Linked DNA regions of Saccharomyces cerevisiae S288C. Changing the gene in region 3 together with the main gene of any one other region gives a genetic interaction. Each region holds a gene or a part of one and is shown on either strand. Other genes may lie near its edges.

Region 1 (6,937 bases), on a different chromosome or scaffold from region 3:
AAAGATAACATTTTCAAGATGAGCCCTTTGAATCAGCTGCAAAGCCAATAAAGGGGTTGGTCCTACTAATATTTTCTCCATCTCCACACCAACTCGCTCTCTAGAAATTTTTGAATTGAATGCAACATTAATCTGAGGATCGCCCATTTCAGCCATCACTTCCGGATCTATGGTAAAGTTGAATCTAGAAGCAAAACGGATCAACCTCAAAACCCTCAAGGGATCATCCAAAAATGTTTGTTTTGCAGGAAGCGGAGTACGGAGAACGCCATCTTTTAGATCTTGCAGACCTCTCTTGGTGAAATCTTCCACTTCACCTTTATGAATGTTATAGAAAAGAGCGTTCAATGTAGCATCCCTTCTTAAAGCGTCTTCCTCGGGTGTGCCAAAGCACACTTTAGGTATCCTGGAAAGTTCAGTATACTTTTCAGATCTTAAATTGACAAAATCCACTTCAACGCCAAAGAGCTTAGTAGTGGCAGTTTCCAGATGCTTGGATTTCTCGGGATTCTTGTCAATCTTGTGGATATTATGAGGCTTGGCTCCATATTTGGCGTAATGTTGTTGCAAATACTCGTTCAAACCAGTAGCAAATTGCTCACCTGACATCACATTGATGGCAATATCCAAGTCGTGAGAACCTTGTCCCAGAAGCTTGTCACGCACCCATCCGCCCGTGATCCGAAGAGTCAATGGCTCAGGCTTATTGTGGTACTTTTGATTGTACAAGTCTGTATAATCGTTCAGCAAGTTACAGATGTTCTGTTCCACTTTGGTTAAGGTGATTTTGGGTGCATTTAGAACAAAATTAGAATTCGTCATCGTTTTCTGAGCAGCACTATTCATCAGTAGAGATATAGTAGACCGTAGCATACACAAAAAAAGCCCTTATAACCCACGGATACGAATTAATCTCGAGGGAAGCGTTGCGATGTATTATGTAGTTTCCTTTAGTACATTGTTAATATGGTAGATTTTTGCGATTCATTTTTCAACTTTTCAACCCTAACGAATGTTTTTTAGGGCTGAGTAACGACAAGAACACAACCCTAAAAATCAGATGACCTAAGGGTTTGGTGAATCGAGAAAGTATGCCCTATTTCCCCCGCCCATACACCCCATAAGCCTTAACCGCAGCCCTCCTCTCCCCTAAACGTTTCTTTTTCTTTTTCCATTTTTTTTTTTTTTTTAGTTTTACTTTCTTTTTATTCGGAAAAATCTTTTCTATATTTTTCAAGGGTAACCTCATCGCCATGCAATTAATCACATAGACTCCTTAAGTAACAATGGCAAGGCGATAATTTTAAGAGAATTGCAGACGCTGTACATAGATCGTTATCAGCAAAACATATATTCGCATCGAAGGCGTTGCTTGTCCCTGAAGTAGCTACTTGCGGTTTTCATCAAGCGGCCAATTTAATCATTCTATCAGCATTATTTTAAAATAGGGGGACTTAACCTTTCTATTAGTACCACTTATTTTATAGATCTGCTGGAGAAAAATAAACAGATAAAAAAAAGGGAAAAAAAGAATAAGACTGTCTTGGTGAGGATATTCAGTTGCGTGAAATCATGACGAAACTAATCGCTCCTTCAGAAATCGTGGGCGGAGTGCCCGTCTTCAAACCCACATACGAGCAATTCGAAGATTTCTATGCATACTGCAAGGCCATAAACAAATATGGCATGAAAAGTGGTGTTGTGAAAGTAATCCCACCTAAAGAATGGAAAGACAAATTAGATCTGCCTTATTCTGCGGAAACGCTCCAAAAGATCAAGATTAAATCACCTATTCAGCAGCATATTTCTGGTAATAAAGGTCTTTTTATGGTGCAGAACGTGGAGAAAAACAAGACCTATAACATTATACAGTGGAAAGATCTTTCTAAGGACTATGTGCCTCCGGAGGATCCTAAAGCAAGACGTAATTCTAGGAAAGGCTCCGTTTCCAAATCCACGAAGTTGAAACTGAAAAATTTTGAATCGTCTTTTAATATTGATGATTTTGAACAGTTCAGGACGGAGTATACAATAGATTTATCTGACTTCCAAAATACGGAGAGATTAAAGTTCTTGGAAGAGTATTATTGGAAAACGCTAAATTTTACTACGCCTATGTACGGCGCAGATACACCAGGATCAATCTTTCCTGAAGGGCTGAACGTTTGGAATGTTGCCAAACTACCGAACATCTTGGACCATATGGAAACAAAGGTTCCTGGGGTGAATGACTCCTATCTATACGCTGGTCTATGGAAGGCTTCTTTTTCTTGGCACTTGGAAGATCAGGACCTGTATTCCATAAATTATATTCATTTCGGTGCCCCAAAACAGTGGTATTCGATACCGCAAGAGGATAGGTTCAAATTCTACAAATTCATGCAGGAGCAATTTCCCGAAGAAGCCAAAAATTGTCCTGAATTTTTAAGACATAAAATGTTTTTGGCTTCGCCCAAACTGCTGCAGGAAAATGGCATACGATGCAATGAAATTGTCCACCATGAAGGCGAATTCATGATCACTTATCCCTATGGTTACCATGCAGGGTTCAATTATGGATATAACTTGGCAGAATCCGTCAACTTTGCTTTGGAGGAGTGGCTACCGATTGGGAAGAAAGCTGGAAAATGCCACTGCATTTCAGACTCAGTGGAAATAGATGTTAAGAAACTCGCTAAATCTTGGAGGGACAATAATAAAGAGTCGAAAGGAACGCCACCCCTCAATCAATTACCCAATCCTGCCATGCCCTTACTTCACAGGCCAACTTTAAAAGAAATGGAAAGCAGCTCGCTTAGATCTACAAGCCCAGATGTGGGTCATTTTTCAAACTTTAAATCCAAGAGCTCTGGTGTTTCTTCTCCCTTATTATCACGTATGAAAGATTATTCCAACATTGTCGAGCCCACACTAGAAGATCCAACTTTGAAATTAAAAAGAATCTCTTCTTTTCAAGAACAGCCCTTAAACAAACTTTTGAAAAGAGAAACTTCGCAAACGGCGATGCTCACAGATCACGAAGACAACATAGTGGCCATGAGCCTTACTTCAATGGCAAACAGTGCGGCGTCTTCTCCGAGGTTGCCACTGTCAAGATTGAATTCATCTAATGAACTCTCAAATGCCCAACCATTGCTTGACATGACAAACAATACTCTTGCCTTCCCGCGACCTAATGGACCATCTGGATTGAACCCTTTATTATATATCTCTAACAAGAATATTAGCGGGATATCTCACTCGGCTCCACATTCTCCAGTGAATCCAAATATATCGCTGATAAAACGAGTTAAGTCTCCCAACATTGTAACATTAAATATATCCAGGGAATCGTCAAGAAGCCCTATAGCTCTGAATTACGAGGCAAGACAACAACATTCGCAACAACATTCATTCTCCACACCATCAACCGTGTCAAATCTCTCTACTTCTGTGCTCGGGCCACTGAGTGACACAAACGACATAAAAACACCGCACCCTGAAAGACCAAATCACAAGACAGCAAATAGAATACTCAAAAAGGAATCTCCTGTCGAGACATCAAAATCAAATCTTATACTTTCAAAGGTTGCATCCACTCGCCAAGAGGATTCTTTTACAAGCCGAAATGACGATCTGGACAAAGAACAAGGCTCTTCTCCATTAAACTCTAAGTTTGCGCCCGAAGAAATCGTGTTATCAGGTAAGAACAAGATTTATATTTGTAAGGAATGCCAAAGAAAGTTCTCTTCTGGTCACCATCTTACAAGACACAAAAAATCCGTCCACTCTGGTGAGAAACCTCATTCTTGTCCCAAATGTGGCAAAAGATTTAAAAGGAGAGATCACGTTCTGCAGCACTTGAATAAGAAAATACCGTGTATTTCAAACGAAACAACAGTAGATGCTCCAATAATGAACCCTACAGTGCAACCGCAGGACGGGAAAGCGGCCATTAATCAACAGAGTACACCTTTAAACTGACTCACGATTGCCAGTTGTTTACCGAGATCTCTCATTTTGAAGGCTCTTAAAATGTGCTCGGTCGGCCGGGAATTCGCGAAAACCCACATTCACTAATAAATACCATTACAATAACCATCATTATATAGATACACATGTGTAGAAAAGGATAATATACGTATATATATTTGTTTGTAAATCTTTAAATTTTCAGGAACAGGGTTAGCAAGCATCAATGAAAGCAGACGCGAAACAAATAACACATCTACTCAAACCTCTTCGACTTTTATTATTGGGGGCTCCAGGGTCAGGTAAAGGGACACAGACTTCGAGATTACTAAAGCAAATTCCACAATTATCTTCAATTTCGTCAGGCGACATTTTACGTCAGGAAATAAAATCTGAATCTACCCTAGGCCGAGAGGCTACTACCTACATTGCTCAAGGCAAGTTATTACCGGATGATCTCATAACGCGTCTGATAACTTTTCGTCTTTCGGCATTGGGTTGGTTAAAACCATCTGCCATGTGGTTGCTCGATGGATTTCCTCGAACTACTGCGCAAGCTTCTGCCTTAGACGAGCTGCTGAAACAGCATGACGCCAGCTTGAATCTAGTGGTAGAGCTAGATGTACCCGAATCCACCATATTAGAAAGGATCGAGAACAGATATGTTCACGTTCCTAGTGGGAGAGTGTATAACTTACAATATAATCCTCCCAAAGTGCCAGGATTAGACGATATCACCGGAGAACCATTGACCAAGAGGCTTGATGACACAGCGGAAGTGTTTAAAAAAAGGCTAGAAGAGTACAAGAAAACAAATGAGCCTTTAAAAGATTATTACAAAAAAAGTGGGATTTTTGGTACCGTCTCTGGGGAAACATCAGATATTATCTTCCGAAATTATTGAACCTTATAACCAGCAAATTCGGCTAATAGGGTGATTTAACGCTACACTAACTGCAAGTATATGTTAACCTTCCCCGAGACTTTGAAAAACCGTGACTCTAGTTGGAAGTCAGCATCTCGTCAACCAAATGATTACAGTTCACTTTGAATATTCTGAATAGCCTTTATGATATGAGTTAATCCTATATTAATCATGGCCGACGGCATTTAAGCGATGTATATGAAATTTATGAAAAATTAAAGTAGCGTACTTTATGCTACATAGCTTTTGAAAAGAAATCTCTGGTCTGTAAATAATAAATAAATATATATATATGTATATCTTAAAGTTGACAAAGTACTGTTAGCCATTCATAGAAATACTATATTTCATCTTGGGTTGAAGGTGATAATCGGCCCGATTTGACTACACTTTAAGAAGATTGGAAACAATGAAGTTTTATATAGATGATTTACCAGTGCTTTTTCCATACCCCAAGATATATCCAGAGCAGTATAATTATATGTGCGATATTAAAAAGACTCTGGATGTAGGTGGAAATAGTATCTTGGAGATGCCTTCAGGAACAGGTAAAACGGTCTCATTACTATCCCTCACAATTGCCTACCAGATGCACTACCCAGAACATAGAAAGATCATATATTGTTCTCGTACTATGTCTGAAATTGAAAAAGCTTTAGTAGAGTTAGAGAACCTTATGGATTACAGAACTAAAGAACTAGGCTATCAAGAGGATTTTCGAGGTCTTGGCTTGACATCAAGAAAAAATTTGTGTTTGCATCCCGAAGTGAGTAAGGAACGAAAAGGTACAGTAGTCGATGAAAAGTGCCGTAGAATGACAAATGGGCAGGCGAAGAGAAAATTAGAAGAGGATCCAGAGGCAAATGTAGAATTGTGTGAATACCATGAGAATTTGTACAATATTGAAGTAGAGGATTATCTTCCAAAAGGCGTATTTTCTTTTGAAAAACTTTTGAAATACTGCGAAGAAAAAACACTTTGTCCATATTTTATTGTTCGTCGTATGATTTCTCTTTGTAACATTATTATTTATTCTTACCATTATCTATTAGATCCTAAAATTGCTGAAAGAGTTTCCAACGAGGTTTCTAAAGATAGCATTGTCATTTTTGATGAAGCGCACAATATTGATAATGTGTGTATCGAATCGCTGTCATTAGACTTGACAACGGATGCATTGAGAAGAGCCACACGAGGTGCTAATGCGTTAGATGAACGTATTTCTGAGGTCAGAAAGGTTGACTCACAGAAATTACAGGATGAATACGAAAAACTAGTTCAAGGTCTCCATTCTGCAGATATTCTTACCGACCAGGAAGAGCCATTTGTGGAAACACCTGTATTGCCCCAAGATCTTCTAACAGAAGCAATCCCGGGAAATATACGAAGAGCCGAGCATTTTGTTTCATTTTTGAAAAGATTGATAGAATATCTGAAGACCAGAATGAAAGTTCTTCACGTTATTTCAGAAACGCCAAAATCATTTCTACAGCATTTAAAACAGTTAACTTTCATAGAAAGGAAACCTCTTCGGTTTTGCTCAGAAAGGCTATCATTACTTGTAAGAACTTTAGAAGTTACAGAGGTAGAAGATTTTACTGCATTGAAAGACATAGCAACTTTTGCTACTCTTATATCAACATATGAGGAAGGGTTTTTACTAATTATTGAACCGTATGAAATCGAAAATGCTGCAGTTCCGAATCCGATTATGAGATTTACTTGCTTAGATGCATCGATTGCCATCAAACCAGTCTTTGAGAGATTTTCTTCCGTTATTATCACTTCAGGGACCATATCACCATTAGACATGTATCCAAGAATGTTAAACTTTAAAACTGTTTTACAAAAATCATATGCCATGACCTTAGCCAAAAAATCATTTCTACCAATGATTATTACCAAGGGTTCTGATCAAGTTGCAATTTCTTCAAGATTTGAAATCAGAAACGATCCTAGTATTGTTCGTAATTACGGTTCTATGCTAGTAGAGTTTGCCAAGATCACACCTGATGGAATGGTTGTTTTTTTCCCCTCATATCTATATATGGAAAGTATTGT
Region 2 (5,726 bases), on a different chromosome or scaffold from region 3:
ACAAGGATCTTGGGCAGGTGGCTCAATGATCTTTGGTTGTCTGAAAACGCTCGATCCGTTAAACGAAGAATGTGTAGTTAGAGTTCCTTGTGCAGTATTTTTCCTTGATTTGGATCTGCTAAAAGCATATGTAAAATCTATCTCGTCATCAGCATTGATGTCAGGTATATCACTTGTTTTTGGTGGGTGATGGTTTCTCAAGGTAGATTTCTTACTTAGAAGGGCTGTGTTCTCATTGGGCTCCGTAGGTTGGGGATTTCCATCTGATAACATGGAATTATCTCCCAGTTCTGAAACTCGGCCGCTCGAAGAAATACTCCTGACTTCATCATTAATATCAGCAGCGCAGTCATGATAGTCAATATAATCAATTTCTATGTCCTGTTCGTTGCCTTCGGTGCCACTAATATATATCTCCATACCTTCAAAATTGTTTTTGAAGTGGTTCAATACTTCCAGATCCTTATAATCTCTAGAAACCCAAAGGAGCCTAACGTTTACACCGTTGAAGTTTAGAATACGAAGTAGTGGTAAGCCAAAGGAAATTCCTGAACCTCCAACACACATAAACACTCTTTGCGCTTTAATTAGAAAATTTAAAGGCGAATTTATTAGTGCAGAAGAATTGTTTCGAAATGGATTCTTGGAAGATTTCGTGGTAATATTAAAAGGAACAGTAGGTTTAGAAATGAAACTCAACTCAGGTTCAAAAGCCCCTGTAATGTAATACTTTTCATTTGTACGCAATGGAAAATGCCCGTTTCTAATAATTAACCTGACCAAATTATCACTTGGAATACTAGCAATAGTAAAAGGATGTTGGAAGGGTATCAAATGGGAGAAAAACCTCCTTAAAAAATTTCTATGGTAAATGTTGATCCTTAGATGCCCTCCTGGTAGGATGGGCTTTTTGGGTAAATCGGTTAATGGGAACTCCAAAAGAGACAATGATGAAGAAATGGGTACTATCGTAACTCTCGTAACATTGGTGATATGGAGCCTATAGACGATTTGTCCCGTTAATATGAGCACATTTAAAGTGGTATAATATGAAATTCCTGGGCGAGCGTGATAATGTAGAAACACCAAAATAAGCCATGTGCTTACATAGTGAACATAGTAAAAAACTCTGTAGCTCCATCGTCTGGCATATCTCACAGAGGTGATGGCAATCAGTAGGAAAAGGCCGAGGGCAATAACCCCATAAATGTTGGGTAGTTTTCTCATTTTCACGTATAACGTATCATTAATGTACATGTAATAGAGATAGAACCACGTGTGTAGAATAGATTCAAGCACAACAATTCTGGAAATCCATTTGTGGAGAGGTAACAATGCTAAGTATAACGTGTGAGGTAACGGTGATGGCCTCAACGTTAGAAATAGTAAAGGTGGCATCAAAGCAACGGAAATTCTCCCCATTCGCTTAGTAATTTCTAACAGATCTCCGTTAGCGCCTTGTATAACAAAAAACGAGGTGAAAACAAAGCATATTAAACATAGTTGTAGTGACTGTTTGTGATACATATGTGTTTTGTGAACCCATGATCTTCTGTTGAAAACATGATGCTTTAAATGGTGACATATTTTGAAGAATTTGTCAGTTAGCAACAAATAATTCATTAAGGGTATAATAACACATATTATAATGAAAGAAATTAAAAGACATATCTGAGAATATTTGCGGACTCTTAAAGTTCTAAAATGCTTGTCCACGTCGACATCAAAACTGGGAAGATGTTCCTTGAACCAGCTAACGATGGACTTTAAATTCATGCTGAAAATAACAATAAATAAAATACAGTAAACTTTTTTAGCGGAACTTCTATTGTAATTTAACGATTTAATCTGAAGAGATGTAGATGTAATAAAACTGTTAAAGTGGCAACGTGATAATTAAAAGCTTGGCAAAAATAAGAGATCAACACTAGCTTTTTCTTTTTCCACCTAAATTTGAAGGGAAATAAAAAAGAAATTGAGGCTGTACAGAGTGTTAATCTTCCATAACGGATACCACCAAACGTTTTTACCCTAAACTTAAATTTTATTACTTATTTTACATGCATAATGGCTGCCATGCGTAGTTCATACATGTTATTTGCACCCTTTTTCTTTTTCAATAACAAAAAAGAGCTTGGGCATTACGTTTTCAACACTTTTAATATTTCCCTTTTTACATCCGTACATATAAAATGTAAACCCATGCATTCATGACAATTTTACCTATTTCTTAAAGGCCTTTGTCACTTCTTTATGGGAATGGCGCTACTTTAATTTTCCGCCTACTTTGAAAAATTTACCAAGGCGAAATTGAGTGCGCTAGGCGGAAGTTCCAGGGCACGGTCACCGAACCTTTGTGCTGTTTCGAACGAGGGTCCCGCTGGAGGTTGACGGACGCGGGAGGAGCTGGAAAGATGGAATGGAAGGACTGCAACACTCAGTAAGAAGGTTCGTGGTAGGGAACATCACCTTCTCTAGTTCCTGTAAAAATAATATGATCAAGTTTGAATCCTCGTATTGAAAAATCGCGAGTTATTAAGTGTGTAATTTAGAATACCGAAATAGCACAAGAAGAGATAAGATAAGATACTGATAGGATAATGTCTTTACCAGCTACTTTTGATTTGACTCCAGAGGATGCCCAACTTTTGTTGGCCGCTAACACCCATTTAGGTGCTAGAAACGTTCAAGTATGTACACATATCCCATACGATTATGTTCTATAGATGATAATAGGTCTCGAAAAGAATATGTCCCCGATTTAATCATATTTGGAGGTCAGAGGACCAAAGGTAATTTCAGAGGAATTTTGAACACGCCGGGTTTAGAAGAGTTAGAATTTCACTTCTTAGTGAGGGTAAGGAGAAGAAACTCAATAAGAATATACATCCTCGACTGTGTCAAAGATTATGAACTCCGATGAAACAGTAAAACGTCAAAAAATTCCACGGGATATAATTCGGTACTTTATTGGATATGGAAGAAAACATTATATATGCACAAATGAACGCTCTTACTAACATAATTTATCTTTCCTCTCTTTTTTTAGGTCCACCAAGAACCATACGTTTTCAATGCTAGACCAGATGGTGTTCACGTTATCAATGTTGGTAAGACCTGGGAAAAGTTGGTTTTGGCTGCTAGAATTATTGCTGCCATTCCAAACCCAGAAGATGTTGTTGCCATCTCTTCCAGAACCTACGGTCAAAGAGCTGTCTTGAAATTTGCTGCTCACACTGGTGCTACTCCAATCGCCGGTAGATTCACTCCAGGTTCTTTCACTAATTACATCACCCGTTCTTTCAAGGAACCAAGATTGGTTATTGTTACCGACCCAAGATTAGACGCTCAGGCCATTAAGGAAGCTTCTTACGTTAACATTCCAGTCATTGCTTTGACTGATTTGGACTCCCCATCTGAATTTGTTGATGTCGCCATCCCATGTAACAACAGAGGTAAGCACTCCATCGGTTTAATCTGGTACTTGTTGGCTAGAGAAGTTTTGAGACTAAGAGGTGCTTTGGTCGACAGAACTCAACCATGGTCCATCATGCCAGATTTGTACTTCTACAGAAACCCAGAAGAAGTTGAGCAAGTTGCTGAAGAAGCTGCTGCCGCTGAAGAAGGTGAAGAAGAAGAAGTTAAGGAAGAAGTCACTGAAGGTCAAGCTGAAGCTACTGAATGGGCTGAAGAAAATGCAGACAACGTTGAATGGTAATCATTTGAAAACCTTGCAATGTGTGTGAATATTGTAAGGAATTGAGAAAGAGAGATAAAAAAAGAGACAGAAGTATCACTTCCTTTTCTAATTTTTCTTTTTCATTTTTTTTTTAAATTCATCTATCGTTTATCTTTATCTCATATATATTTGCTTCTCTCTGAAGCGTCATCATCTATCTGTATTTTTAATGCAATCATAGTATAAAAATTTTTAACCAAATTCAAAAATTATAATATTTTAAAAGTTTATGCTTTTGTCCTTTTATATTCAAGTCATTTGGCCATTATTACGCTTTTTTTTTTATTAGGTAAGTGGTTTCAATAATTAAATTCTTTAGCGGGAAGGCTGACTATCTATAGTATTGAAGATAAGTTAAATTAATGTTTAGTTCTGATATTTCATTTTTATTATTAATTAAATTTGCACTATTCGCCATGACGGGTTCACCCGAGTATTTATTTTGCTTTCGTTATACATATATATATATATATATTCTTCCAGGAGAAATACCTGCCTTCTCTCTTACCCCTTGCTCAATCTAAATCAATCCGTGACCTTAAATCTTCTAGCAGAATGACTAAGTCACAATCGATTTTAGAAATTTGAATAACCAGCTCAGAGATATTACTGACAAAAAACTTGTAATGGCACTGTTTTAGCAAGTTTAAGATAAATGTATCCATTAAGAAAGCATTGATTTTATTCGGACCATAATAGGTAGTCACTATTAGAATATCTAAAAGTTCTAGACCAATACCATCTAATTTGTGCTTATTCAATGCGTTGGTCATAAAATTTCTTATTACAGGCTTGATGAAATCCATTATCACATTTAATTTCAACTTGTCCTTTAAATGGTAGTATAAGTTAGGAAAGTCCTGATAGAACTTCCCCTCAGTAACCGTGTAAGAATTCTTGTTGTCCTTATTGTCATCGAAACGACTATTCAACCAGGTAACGTTTTTCGTCAAATTGATGAAAATAGACCGGGATAGAGTTTCCTGCTCTTCGTTGTTACAACATTTCCTTATTGCTAGATACAATGAGTTGTTCGCATACTGACTGAAAAATCCGGCTTCGTCTAGTTCGCTATAGTGATATAAACATCTCTTGTATATTGGAAGACGAAAATCGTTCGGTATCCCAAACCAATATAAGTTATGCTTACTTATCACCAACAGCAGGTCCGTCTCATCGCCAGATGTATGACAACTTCTCAAATTGCTCCAAAACTTTTCCAATTTTAGTTCTCTTCGAAATAAGTTTCTATTTTGAAACTTTAAATTTAAGATGTTCCTCTTTGTTTCCGATTTAATGAGGTTTTGTATGGATGGATCAGTATGAGTGCACAAGGTTTCATCGTTATTATTGGCAATTAATGATAACGATTCTTTTTCACTATTGATTTTCCTTTTATTTTCCTGAATCAAAGAATCTACACTCAAATTTTTTTGTGGTCTAATGACTAATGAAGATGATCCTGATGAGTTCCTGTTGTTGTTTGGAGTAAACAAACCATCAGAAAACACAGAAGACGCAGAAGAAGATGAAGAAGAGTACATCGTTGATCTGTGATTCGGCGAAGGGGCCACAGGACTCCCCTGAGAGTTTGCTCGAGGAATGGCAAAGTTGTCTATTATGGGGACAGCATAACTAATGAGATTAGTATCTTTATCTATTGTTGTGTCCAGAATTGTTGTCCAATCTGTGGTCCCGGAATGTAGGGCCTCTTCTTTCAAATCGTTTCTTGTTATTCTATGCCTGCTATGGAATAGCCGCTGACTGGGTGGTACGTACTCGTGCATGATATTATTAACCATGAGTTGTAGCTGTTTTGTTATATCCAAAGAATTTGGCTAACGTATCCTTGTACGCGTGATTTATTTATATATACGTGCAGCACAATATATATATATATATATATGTATGCGTGCGCTTGGTTATGGCTCAGTAAAGCGAAAGTAACGGAATAAGCGAGGGAAGGGGGATCTAGCGATGAGGGAAT
Region 3 (6,174 bases):
GCAGATAATTTCTCAAGGGATTAGATTCAAATCTGGCTTGTCAATTACGCCCTTTTCAAGCTCATCAAATTGCGTATGTCATTCATGCTTCCATTAGGAACCATAGAAGCATGGCTGAAATGGCAATATACGGCTTCCCAATTTCAACTCTAAAGTAATGGCGGTCGAATTTAATCTATATTTTACAGTTTTATACGTACTTTAAAAGCAATCAGTAAACACCTCTGGTGCTATTCAAGGGTTTTTTGCCTTTATTTGTTACTGTCAATTGTCTGGCGCTGTGATAAAAAACAAGGCATAAAGCTCCCCCGTCATGAACATTAAGACTCGCTAGACGAGAGAGTGAAATATAATGCATTTCCTGATTTAAATGCGCTACAAACATGGTGTAAATCTGGCCCGGAGTGAGTGCTTGCCAATTTGGCTTCTAAGGGAGAAAGATCAAACCACTCCCAATTGCGTCATTTTGAAAGAGTGGCCACCTCGCGAGCGTCTGTCGAACTAACTGATGAATAAATATATAAGGAGAAAATCACTTCAACTTCGCTACAAGTAGTCACTATTTGTAGCAACTGTAAACGAACACATCAAAGAATAAGATTACATTCTATATCTAAGACTAAATTTTAAATGTCCGCTAAATCGTTTGAAGTCACAGATCCAGTCAATTCAAGTCTCAAAGGGTTTGCCCTTGCTAACCCCTCCATTACGCTGGTCCCTGAAGAAAAAATTCTCTTCAGAAAGACCGATTCCGACAAGATCGCATTAATTTCTGGTGGTGGTAGTGGACATGAACCTACACACGCCGGTTTCATTGGTAAGGGTATGTTGAGTGGCGCCGTGGTTGGCGAAATTTTTGCATCCCCTTCAACAAAACAGATTTTAAATGCAATCCGTTTAGTCAATGAAAATGCGTCTGGCGTTTTATTGATTGTGAAGAACTACACAGGTGATGTTTTGCATTTTGGTCTGTCCGCTGAGAGAGCAAGAGCCTTGGGTATTAACTGCCGCGTTGCTGTCATAGGTGATGATGTTGCAGTTGGCAGAGAAAAGGGTGGTATGGTTGGTAGAAGAGCATTGGCAGGTACCGTTTTGGTTCATAAGATTGTAGGTGCCTTCGCAGAAGAATATTCTAGTAAGTATGGCTTAGACGGTACAGCTAAAGTGGCTAAAATTATCAACGACAATTTGGTGACCATTGGATCTTCTTTAGACCATTGTAAAGTTCCTGGCAGGAAATTCGAAAGTGAATTAAACGAAAAACAAATGGAATTGGGTATGGGTATTCATAACGAACCTGGTGTGAAAGTTTTAGACCCTATTCCTTCTACCGAAGACTTGATCTCCAAGTATATGCTACCAAAACTATTGGATCCAAACGATAAGGATAGAGCTTTTGTAAAGTTTGATGAAGATGATGAAGTTGTCTTGTTAGTTAACAATCTCGGCGGTGTTTCTAATTTTGTTATTAGTTCTATCACTTCCAAAACTACGGATTTCTTAAAGGAAAATTACAACATAACCCCGGTTCAAACAATTGCTGGCACATTGATGACCTCCTTCAATGGTAATGGGTTCAGTATCACATTACTAAACGCCACTAAGGCTACAAAGGCTTTGCAATCTGATTTTGAGGAGATCAAATCAGTACTAGACTTGTTGAACGCATTTACGAACGCACCGGGCTGGCCAATTGCAGATTTTGAAAAGACTTCTGCCCCATCTGTTAACGATGACTTGTTACATAATGAAGTAACAGCAAAGGCCGTCGGTACCTATGACTTTGACAAGTTTGCTGAGTGGATGAAGAGTGGTGCTGAACAAGTTATCAAGAGCGAACCGCACATTACGGAACTAGACAATCAAGTTGGTGATGGTGATTGTGGTTACACTTTAGTGGCAGGAGTTAAAGGCATCACCGAAAACCTTGACAAGCTGTCGAAGGACTCATTATCTCAGGCGGTTGCCCAAATTTCAGATTTCATTGAAGGCTCAATGGGAGGTACTTCTGGTGGTTTATATTCTATTCTTTTGTCGGGTTTTTCACACGGATTAATTCAGGTTTGTAAATCAAAGGATGAACCCGTCACTAAGGAAATTGTGGCTAAGTCACTCGGAATTGCATTGGATACTTTATACAAATATACAAAGGCAAGGAAGGGATCATCCACCATGATTGATGCTTTAGAACCATTCGTTAAAGAATTTACTGCATCTAAGGATTTCAATAAGGCGGTAAAAGCTGCAGAGGAAGGTGCTAAATCCACTGCTACATTCGAGGCCAAATTTGGCAGAGCTTCGTATGTCGGCGATTCATCTCAAGTAGAAGATCCTGGTGCAGTAGGCCTATGTGAGTTTTTGAAGGGGGTTCAAAGCGCCTTGTAAGTACTTGGCTCACGAATACATATCAAGATACTTATGATATATATATATAGAAAAAGCTTACTTTTCTTGGAGTTATTGTTATTATCATCGCGAAGAACGATTGTATAACCCGGTTCAACGCGAAACGAATCGTTAAACTGGTGAAATGTTAACGCGAGTGTCAGAGATATACATAGTATGAGAGTAGCTAGATGTTGAATCGGTGGTAAGAACAAGAAGGAAATACCGTTAACAAGTGAAGGAACAATCTAGTATTGTTGAACAAGAATTATGAGTACCGACTTTGATAGAATTTACTTGAACCAATCTAAATTTAGCGGTAGATTCCGTATTGCTGATTCTGGGTTAGGGTGGAAAATTAGTACCAGTGGTGGCTCTGCAGCAAATCAGGCAAGAAAACCATTTTTATTACCAGCCACAGAATTATCTACCGTCCAATGGAGTAGGGGCTGCAGGGGTTACGACTTGAAGATAAATACCAAAAATCAAGGTGTTATCCAACTAGATGGATTTTCTCAGGATGACTATAACTTAATCAAGAATGATTTCCATCGCCGTTTTAATATTCAGGTAGAGCAAAGAGAACATTCCTTACGTGGTTGGAACTGGGGTAAGACAGACCTTGCCAGGAATGAAATGGTTTTTGCTTTAAATGGTAAACCAACTTTTGAAATTCCTTATGCTAGAATAAATAATACAAATTTGACCTCTAAAAATGAAGTAGGAATAGAATTTAATATTCAAGATGAAGAGTACCAACCAGCCGGTGACGAATTGGTAGAGATGAGGTTCTATATTCCTGGTGTTATTCAAACAAACGTCGATGAAAACATGACCAAAAAGGAAGAGTCAAGCAACGAGGTCGTACCAAAGAAAGAAGATGGTGCTGAAGGAGAAGATGTACAAATGGCAGTAGAGGAAAAGAGTATGGCAGAAGCATTCTATGAAGAACTAAAGGAAAAGGCAGACATCGGGGAAGTCGCTGGTGATGCAATAGTTTCCTTCCAAGACGTCTTTTTTACCACGCCAAGAGGTCGTTATGATATCGATATTTACAAGAACTCCATTAGACTCAGGGGTAAGACCTATGAATACAAATTGCAACATCGTCAAATACAAAGAATTGTTTCGTTACCAAAGGCAGATGATATCCATCACTTATTGGTTTTGGCAATTGAACCTCCTTTACGTCAAGGACAGACCACCTACCCCTTTCTTGTCTTACAATTTCAGAAAGATGAGGAAACAGAAGTGCAATTGAATCTAGAAGATGAAGATTATGAGGAAAATTATAAGGATAAATTGAAAAAACAATATGATGCTAAAACTCATATAGTTTTAAGTCATGTATTAAAAGGTCTGACTGACCGTAGAGTCATTGTTCCTGGAGAATATAAATCCAAATATGATCAGTGTGCAGTTTCATGTTCTTTCAAAGCAAACGAAGGTTATTTGTATCCATTAGATAACGCTTTCTTCTTTTTAACTAAGCCAACTTTGTACATACCATTCAGTGATGTTAGCATGGTAAACATTTCAAGAGCAGGACAAACTTCTACGTCATCGAGGACGTTTGATTTGGAAGTGGTACTGCGTTCAAATAGAGGTTCTACCACTTTTGCCAACATCAGTAAGGAAGAGCAGCAATTATTGGAACAATTCCTAAAGTCTAAAAACCTAAGGGTGAAGAATGAAGATAGAGAGGTACAAGAAAGGTTACAAACCGCTTTAGGTTCAGACAGTGACGAAGAGGATATTAATATGGGTTCCGCTGGTGAAGATGATGAATCAGTAGATGAGGATTTTCAGGTCAGCTCTGATAATGACGCAGACGAAGTTGCAGAAGAGTTTGATTCAGATGCGGCTTTAAGTGATGCTGAGGGGGGTAGCGACGAAGAAAGGCCTTCGAAGAAGCCTAAGGTAGAATAGTAATAATTTTAGACTGTATAAGTTAAATTTATTGATATTGTGTAAAAACTAACTAATATATTTTGCCAATTGATATTATCATGACATGGTGAGTGTAAGACACCACCTCTTAATTACTGGTGTTATTCTATACATTTATTTGAAATTGGTTTTGTTTTGCAAAATATTTATGTTTTGTTAATCTCCTCTACCCTTTCAATGCTTGAAAAATACTTTCAACTTTTCGATTGGGTGATGAAAAAAAGACAAATAGTGTAAAGGGTTCAAAAATAAATAACAAGCAAGAGAAAGGGACTTTGCTTTTCTCATTTAGTCACCAGTAAGTTATGTCATGGTGTAGAATAACGAATTACAGAAAACTAATATAACTGATGAAAGACCAGGGAGTAAAATGGCTTTGACTCAGTTTGAAAATGATTTGGAAATATTAAGAGATATGTACCCAGAACTGGAAATGAAATCGGTAAAAGTAGAGGAGGAAGGTGAATTCCCTCAAAGAATTAACGGAAAGTTACTGTTCAAGATATCACTATTGGCCGATGTAAATATTGAGTTCGGCGAGCAACATATGTTACTTTCAAACTTATCTAATGAATGCGTGGAGTTCACCATATATAGCTGTCATTATCCGGACATTCGACGGTGTGTTGTTATGGATATCAAATCCTTATGGATATCAACAGATGAAAAGAAGATGTTAATTGACAAAGCGCTGAGACTCGTTGAAGAAACTGTAGATATGAGTATTGAGTTCGCGGATTCGTTTACCTCCATCCTTATCCTCATCTTTGGGTTTCTTATAGATGATACAGCTATATTACTATTCCCTAATGGAATAAGAAAGTGCCTGACACAGGATCAGTATGACTTGTTTAAGCAGATAAGTGAGGAAGCCACCCTCCAAAAAGTGAGCAGATCTAACTACCATTGTTGTATTTGTATGGAAATGGAAAAGGGTGTTAGAATGATCAAATTGCCATGTGAAAATGCGAATGTAGAACACTATCTTTGCAGAGGATGCGCCAAATCTTATTTCACTGCAATGATTCAGGAAAACCGAATATCCAGTGTAAGATGTCCACAATGCGAATACAAAGAATTAAAACTAGAAGATTTCAAGAGCTATAAAAAAATGCTGAAGGCATTGTTTACACCTTTGATTCCAGTGTCCTTCTTAAAAGAGGTTATCGATACAGAGCTATGTGAAAGATACGAAAAAATGTTCTACAACCAGGCGGCTACAAGACTCTCAAAATATTGTCCGTATGCTTGTGTGACTTGTCGAAGATGTGATAGTTGGTGCACAAAAGAAGACCTCGATGATGCGATGATTCAGTGTCAAAAATGTCATTTTGTATTTTGCTTTGACTGCTTGCATGCCTGGCATGGTTACAACAATAAATGTGGCAAGAAAGTTTCGTTATCGACCGATATTATTGAGGAATATCTAGATGATACCGTTACTTCATATGAGAGAAAGCGGAAACTGGAGGCAAAATATGGGAGAAGAGTATTAGAACTTGAAGTCAATGATTACCTTGCTGAAAAAATGTTAGATTTAGCGATTAAAAAAGAGGGTTCGAATTTGCAGCGATGTCCAAAGTGTAAGGTAGTTGTAGAAAGAAGTGAAGGTTGCAATAAAATGAAATGCGAAGTATGCGGGACGCTGTTCTGTTTTATATGCGGAGTATTACTTTATCCTGAGGACCCTTATGAACATTTTAGAGAAGCATATTCAGGCTGTTATGGACGATTGTTTGAAGGTATGCCTGGCACAGAAACTTGAGTGCGATCGCTCTGCCTTCAGTCTCACACTTTTTCTTATAATCTATTGTCATGAAATTTATACAGATGAAAATG
Region 4 (5,933 bases), on a different chromosome or scaffold from region 3:
TCCCACACTTCACCAAATGAGTGTACAATGGTTTGAACTTTTACGCAATGTAGAGTAGAAGTATTCATTTTGAAAATTTGTATACAGGAGGAGTGCTTCTCCTTGTCAAACATTTCTAAATGCTCGTTCAAAGGCTCATCCATGTACTGTGATACCGCGACGGCTAAATATTGTATATCCTTGCCTATATCAGTATTTTCCTCTATATTAAGCCATGCAATATCTGTTACCAATCCTCCTACGTTGTAAATAAAGCCGCGCCTTTTGCCGTTAGCAAGCACCGGAAACTCTATTTTATCGCCAGTGGATACCTCTGCATCAACTTCCCCGATAAGTAACTTCAATCTCTTCGTTCTCAATTTGATCATATTCTCAAATTCAGTCTTATTAATTTCATGATATACGGTTCTGTTTTTATCCCCTATGACTTTATTATATGCACTTTCCTTTTTACACGGTGGATCTAAGCATACAAAATATGGAGAATCAGGCTGAATATTCTTGAATGGGAAATCGAAAACGCTAGTTTCAAAGCCTTCCTTAACTTTTGCTAGCAACAATAACTTTTCCTTATTCAGTCCATAAATTCTTTCAATCTTGTCTCTTGCACTCGAAAGATCTTTTAGGAGCCTGATGGGACGGCCCTTCTGTCCTAGACTTGACCCTGGGGAGCTGCTCTTCATATTTTTAGTCGAATTCTTCTTCAAACGAAGTTTCTGTACAGTATTTCTTCTTCCACTGGGTCTAACAGAAGCTCCACTTCCACTACTGTTTAAATCCGCCACCTCATTTTTAGTAGACTCTAACTCATTCTCAAATTCTATCTCAACATTGTCACTTTCCTCACCATCACCTTCATCATTCAATACAAAATCATCATCGTCGGTGTCATCAACATTATTGACTTGTGTAGTATTTATCACATCATCGCGACCAGCATGCACTAATTGTGCGAAATTTGCAACTGCTTTCTTAGATGCGTTTCTCCTCGGCCTTTTACTGCCTGAGTTTTCAGATACTGGGCTTGCCAAGCTATCATAGGGAACTTCTGCTACCACAGATTTTCTAGGTCTTCCTCTTTTCTTTGCCGGTATTACTGCCATCGCCACAACTTAATATATTATTACACGTATCGCAATGGAGCAAGTTAGAGAAATTTCGCTAATGGATCAAAGAGTACTAGCTTTAGTTTTTAGGACATGAAACTGCTCTTACTGAGTAGAAATCAAAGCTTTAACAACTCATCCAGGCTTTCTCGAACAAAAAATGGAATGTTGTTTATCTTCTTTTGCAACGTAGGGTTTTCGAACCGCAGCTTTCCGGGTGATACTGAATCCCTTCTATTTCCTTACAGAAGACAGCAAATTTTATTGTAGCATATAAGAAAAGAAATGACAGGCAGAGGAGGGACCAGCATGCCTATGAATTCCCAATACCATATATCACTTTGACAGCGTATATCGCAATTGAAATAGAACAACTTTTCATTATTACTTCAGAATTCATTTTAAAGTGATTGCGAACACGGATTATAGCCCTGAACAATAAAAGGCAAGAGAAAAAATCATTTGTTTTAGGCTGTTAACAGATGACCGGTGATTCCAGAAGCATCAGCGAACCCTCAATTAATCTAGATCCAGATAATACAAGTTTTTCTGATGAAAACAGCGATGACTTCTTTATGGACAATTCCTATGATATAGATGAAATCGATCATAGCGATGAAAGTAATAGGCAAAGTGTCATAGTTGACTCTAAAGTCACGGTACCGCCATCAAAGCATTCAACTCTAACATTATCTGATAGTGAAGATAGCGACGCAAAGGAACAACATCAGTCCCTGAGCAGATCATCTAGTAAAAATGTAAATATAGAAGATATTACGGAGCCCAAGCCAGACAAACCATCGGGTCGAACTAGAGGAAGATCTGTGATGAAAGAGTCTGTAGTTGAAATAAACTCATCTGAATCTGACTTAGACGAAGACAAAAATTTTCCCAGATCTAGGTCAAGGTCCAGGTCAAGCATAAGATCAATATCTCCAGCGGGAAAATACAAGCGACAGAAAAGTTCATTACTGTATACCTATGATGAAAACGATGACTTTTTCAAGGAACTTGCTAAAGAAGCCAAAAAAAGCACCACTATTTCTAAAGAATCGACACCCGACCAGCGGAAGCGAGTTTATAACATCAAATTTCTCTCTAAGCTAGAAGGAACTATAAATAAAGCGGTCCAAGTGAAGGTCCTCGGAAAATACGAATTTTCAAAAATACTTCCTGCTGCTTTGGACGGATTGATGAAGTCCTATAAAATTCCGAAGGTAATGAAAGATATATACAAGGTAGAGAATGTTACTCTTTATTGGAACAATGCAAAATTACTCACTTTTATGACTTGTAATTCGCTACATATCCCACAGGATTTTGAAAATGAAGTCTCTGATATCGATGTTACTATCGTATCCAAAGAATACGAAAAGAACTTTGAAGCGACACTGGAATCAAAGTTAAAGGAAGAAGAAGCTGCTTTACTCATAAAAGAACGTCAGGAGATGGAAAGGAAGTTAGAGAAAAAGAGAAATGAACAAGAAGAGTCCGAATATCGCGAGTTTGAATCCGAATTAAAAAACGTAGAAGAAACACAAGAAATAAAAGAAAATGATACAGTTATGAATACAAAACTTCTGCAAGAGGGTGGCTCTTTGTCAGGAAATAGTAGTAGCATGGAAGAAGTTATGAGAATCGCTCTCATGGGTCAAGATAACAAAAAAATCTATGTCCATGTTAGGCGTTCAACACCATTTTCTAAAATTGCCGAATATTACAGAATCCAGAAACAGTTACCACAAAAGACGAGGGTTAAATTACTTTTTGATCATGATGAATTGGACATGAATGAGTGTATAGCCGATCAGGATATGGAAGATGAAGACATGGTTGATGTCATTATTGATTGAGCGCAATTTGCTAAAAAAGGCCGAACTCCGGCTCTTTACGTGCCACAATTATTATTTACTATGGGCGGCGGGTGTGTTGGTGGTGCTTGCGGTACTTGTAAAATATTTTCTGAATATAATTGAATAAGACCTTTTGTGTTTAAATCATACTCGGGTAATTCTCTGTTCAAAAAGTAGGTGCTGACCCTCTTCTACCTTCCGTGAAATATTATAAAGGAATTTTTCCATCTCTAACTCAACATGTTAACGCTTTTCTATAAAAATTTGATCGCCTAATGAATACAAAAATCTCTTCAGCTTTTTCGTGCTAGGTTTGAATAGTACATCTAACGTAGAACAACTATCAAAACAATTTGATATTTCCTCGGCTATAGTTTTCTTGGAACAAGAGGTAAACTACTTCTCTATTGTTGCTACAGCAGTCAATTAAAATAATTCGTTTCATCATAATATTATGATATCAACGCTAAAAGGTTGTATAAATTACGAGATCAGCAGAAAATAAAATTCAAGCCATCATCCTTTAAGGTGATTTGAAGGGCAAGAATTGGTAGTGTAACTGCATCAATGAGTGATTAGGTGAAAACGAAGAAAAATAATAAATATGGTACTGTGCAGAATTGTTGATTTTCTTTTTTGAACTCTAAACCATCAAGAATGGCTTTCACCCACTATTGTTACACATAGTACTATTACTTACACCAAGATGGGATCCGACAAATATCTCAACACTATATTGGTCTACATGCTTTATCGATTGCTCCTTATTTACGTATTTCTATAAATAGGGCGTACTTTACCAACAGTGATCATGGATGCAAAAAATGTGAATACATTTATATGGAAAAAAGGTTTATATCAATATATTTTAAAGTGATTGAAAATTACTGATGTGTTTGATATTGTTGGAATAAGAATCAACCATCATATACCCGACTAACGTTCATATTATTAGTAAACTATCATATACAACCTAAGAAGTTGACATAAAGATTGACAAGCAGTTACCATTTTTAGTAGAAGTTGAAAAGCAAGAATTGATAACCAAATATTGTTTTCCAACAATGCAATCCCAACCCTATCTCAATATTCATAGAATTCACTTATTTCTCAGTTTAATACATGATGATGCATCTTGATATTGAGAAATTATATGTATTATCCCTTTTTAACCTTTAAAAGGTCACAAATAAATAGCCTTGTTGGCGCAATCGGTAGCGCGTATGACTCTTAATCATAAGGTTAGGGGTTCGAGCCCCCTACAGGGCTAATAACACATTCAAAATGTTATAAATTTTTTTTCGGGTTTGTGTTTAAAACTAACCTTCTAAAGAAAACAATAAAAATTATATCAACATTTCCTCATGTCTTTGTAACCTACTAGTAGGGATTTTGAAGGGCTGAAAGCTTCTTAGTTCTGTCGGATCCATTATATTATCATTATTTACGAAACTAGTGCTATGGGTGGCGAACGTGGTGGGCGTTACCTTTTAAAGTCCTAATGGAAACCTACCTATGCATAAAGTGAATAGAGTGGCAATAAAAGTCGAATAATAGTACAAATACGCAAAAATATGAGTACGGACGTTGCTGCTGCACAAGCCCAAAGTAAAATAGATTTAACAAAAAAAAAAAATGAGGAAATAAATAAGAAGTCTCTAGAGGAAGACGATGAATTTGAAGATTTCCCCATTGACACATGGGCCAATGGTGAAACAATAAAAAGCAATGCTGTAACGCAAACAAACATATGGGAAGAAAACTGGGATGATGTTGAAGTTGACGACGATTTCACCAATGAATTGAAGGCCGAATTGGATAGATACAAACGGGAAAATCAGTGAGGGGCTACATAACATTATTTCTAAATAACGCAAAAGGAAATTATACGTCTAATGTTACTTTAGTACATTGTTGTCATACTAGTATATTTTGCTTAGATGATAAAATAAATAATAAAAAGAGATACGAAAGGCTATGCGGTAGTCGATTATATGGCCTTGTAGTATAATAATGATGCACGCAAAGTATTAAATAACTCAGCTGAGATTTCTCATTTCTTTAAATGCAGTCTCAGTTTAAAAAATTAACTATATTAAGATCCGCTCTTTCTACCATATGATGCAAATGTGTCCTCGAACTAGTACTTGCAATTTCAGGTAACCCCAATCGTTTCTTTATTATTGTCATTTTTACTATCATAATAATATCATCCGTAATAACAATTAAGTAACAAATCACATCCATGTAACCATTTAATTTGTTTCAAGTAACATTCCGAGTGAATAGCTAGTCACATACATATATCTTACCTGCCGCTCCGCTGCAAATGACTTTACTTGTTTCTTGAGGATGCCAGTCCACTTGAGTTATAGGCTTGTTGCCTGGAATCTTGATGTTATTTAATAAGCGCGACGTATTCCAATCCCAAGTAAATAGTCTGCTTTTTGAATCGCCTGAACATATGTAACGACCATCACCAGAAAAAGCCAAGCTTATCCCATAACCAGCAGATGAATGCCCTTTAAATATCTTTTTTGGATGCCTCTTATATTTGGGTTTCAAACTGAAAGAATATATTCTATTATCCATGCTTTGTGCACAGAAATAGTTCTGAGACGGATGTACATTTAAAAATGGCATAGAATGTTGAGCCGTGTCACTTATTTGTTTTATTGGTACATTGATCTGATTTTCCCAAATTCTTACCGTCTTATCCTCTGAAGAAGAAATAAACTTCGAACCATCGGGAAAATACTTGAGAGCCAGAATGCTACTTAGGTGATGATCATATGTCTGCACAAGACCTTGATTTTCTGAAACACGATCATCATAATGTAATATTTTCGAATTCGATAAACCTACAATGAACTCATGTGGGTTAGTGGGCCGAGATTCAACATCTGCAGGCGTTGAATTAAGGTGCAACCTGGTTTTCACTTTACCAGTTTCAGTATCCCAAATTTTAACGCTT

What was found.
Region 1: mutations in POB3 (region 3) and RPH1 together harm fitness more than expected from each alone (negative genetic interaction), as found in Saccharomyces cerevisiae (one large-scale study listed by BioGRID).
Region 2: mutations in POB3 (region 3) and RPS0B together harm fitness more than expected from each alone (negative genetic interaction), as found in Saccharomyces cerevisiae (2 studies listed by BioGRID).
Region 4: mutations in POB3 (region 3) and ESC2 together harm fitness more than expected from each alone (negative genetic interaction), as found in Saccharomyces cerevisiae (3 studies listed by BioGRID).

What each region holds. Positions count from the first base shown.
Region 1 is NC_001137.3:521,797-528,733, forward strand, and holds RPH1 (Rph1p), read left to right. Parts: upstream 1-1,572; coding exon 1,573-3,963; downstream 3,964-6,937. Other genes in the region: CCA1 (tRNA adenylyltransferase), read right to left, coding at 1-873; adenylate kinase ADK2, read left to right, coding at 4,178-4,855; TFIIH/NER complex ATP-dependent 5'-3' DNA helicase subunit RAD3, read left to right, coding at 5,286-6,937. UniProt on the Saccharomyces cerevisiae protein: Transcriptional repressor of photolyase PHR1. Recognizes and binds the sequence AG(4) in the upstream repressing sequence of PHR1. Derepresses PHR1 transcription when phosphorylated.
Region 2 is NC_001144.5:239,632-245,357, forward strand, and holds RPS0B (40S ribosomal protein uS2 RPS0B), read left to right. Parts: upstream 1-2,600; coding exon 2,601-2,690; intron 2,691-3,049; coding exon 3,050-3,718; downstream 3,719-5,726. Other genes in the region: FRE8 (putative ferric-chelate reductase), read right to left, coding at 1-1,776; MLO50 (Mlo50p), read right to left, coding at 4,255-5,541.
Region 3 is NC_001145.3:132,845-139,018, forward strand, and holds POB3 (FACT complex subunit POB3), read left to right. Parts: upstream 1-2,655; coding exon 2,656-4,314; downstream 4,315-6,174. Other genes in the region: DAK1 (dihydroxyacetone kinase), read left to right, coding at 631-2,385; ITT1 (RBR-type E3 ubiquitin transferase), read left to right, coding at 4,706-6,100. UniProt on the Saccharomyces cerevisiae protein: Component of the FACT complex, a general chromatin factor that acts to reorganize nucleosomes. The FACT complex is involved in multiple processes that require DNA as a template such as mRNA elongation, DNA replication and DNA repair.
Region 4 is NC_001136.10:1,197,595-1,203,527, forward strand, and holds ESC2 (Esc2p), read left to right. Parts: upstream 1-1,588; coding exon 1,589-2,959; downstream 2,960-5,933. Other genes in the region: transcription factor TFIIIC subunit TFC6, read right to left, coding at 1-1,103; proteasome regulatory particle lid subunit SEM1, read left to right, coding at 4,534-4,803; CDC40 (Cdc40p), read right to left, coding at 5,249-5,933. UniProt on the Saccharomyces cerevisiae protein: May be a substrate targeting component of a cullin-RING-based E3 ubiquitin-protein ligase complex RTT101(MMS1-ESC2). Involved in HMR and telomere silencing via the recruitment or stabilizing of the SIR (silent information regulators) complex.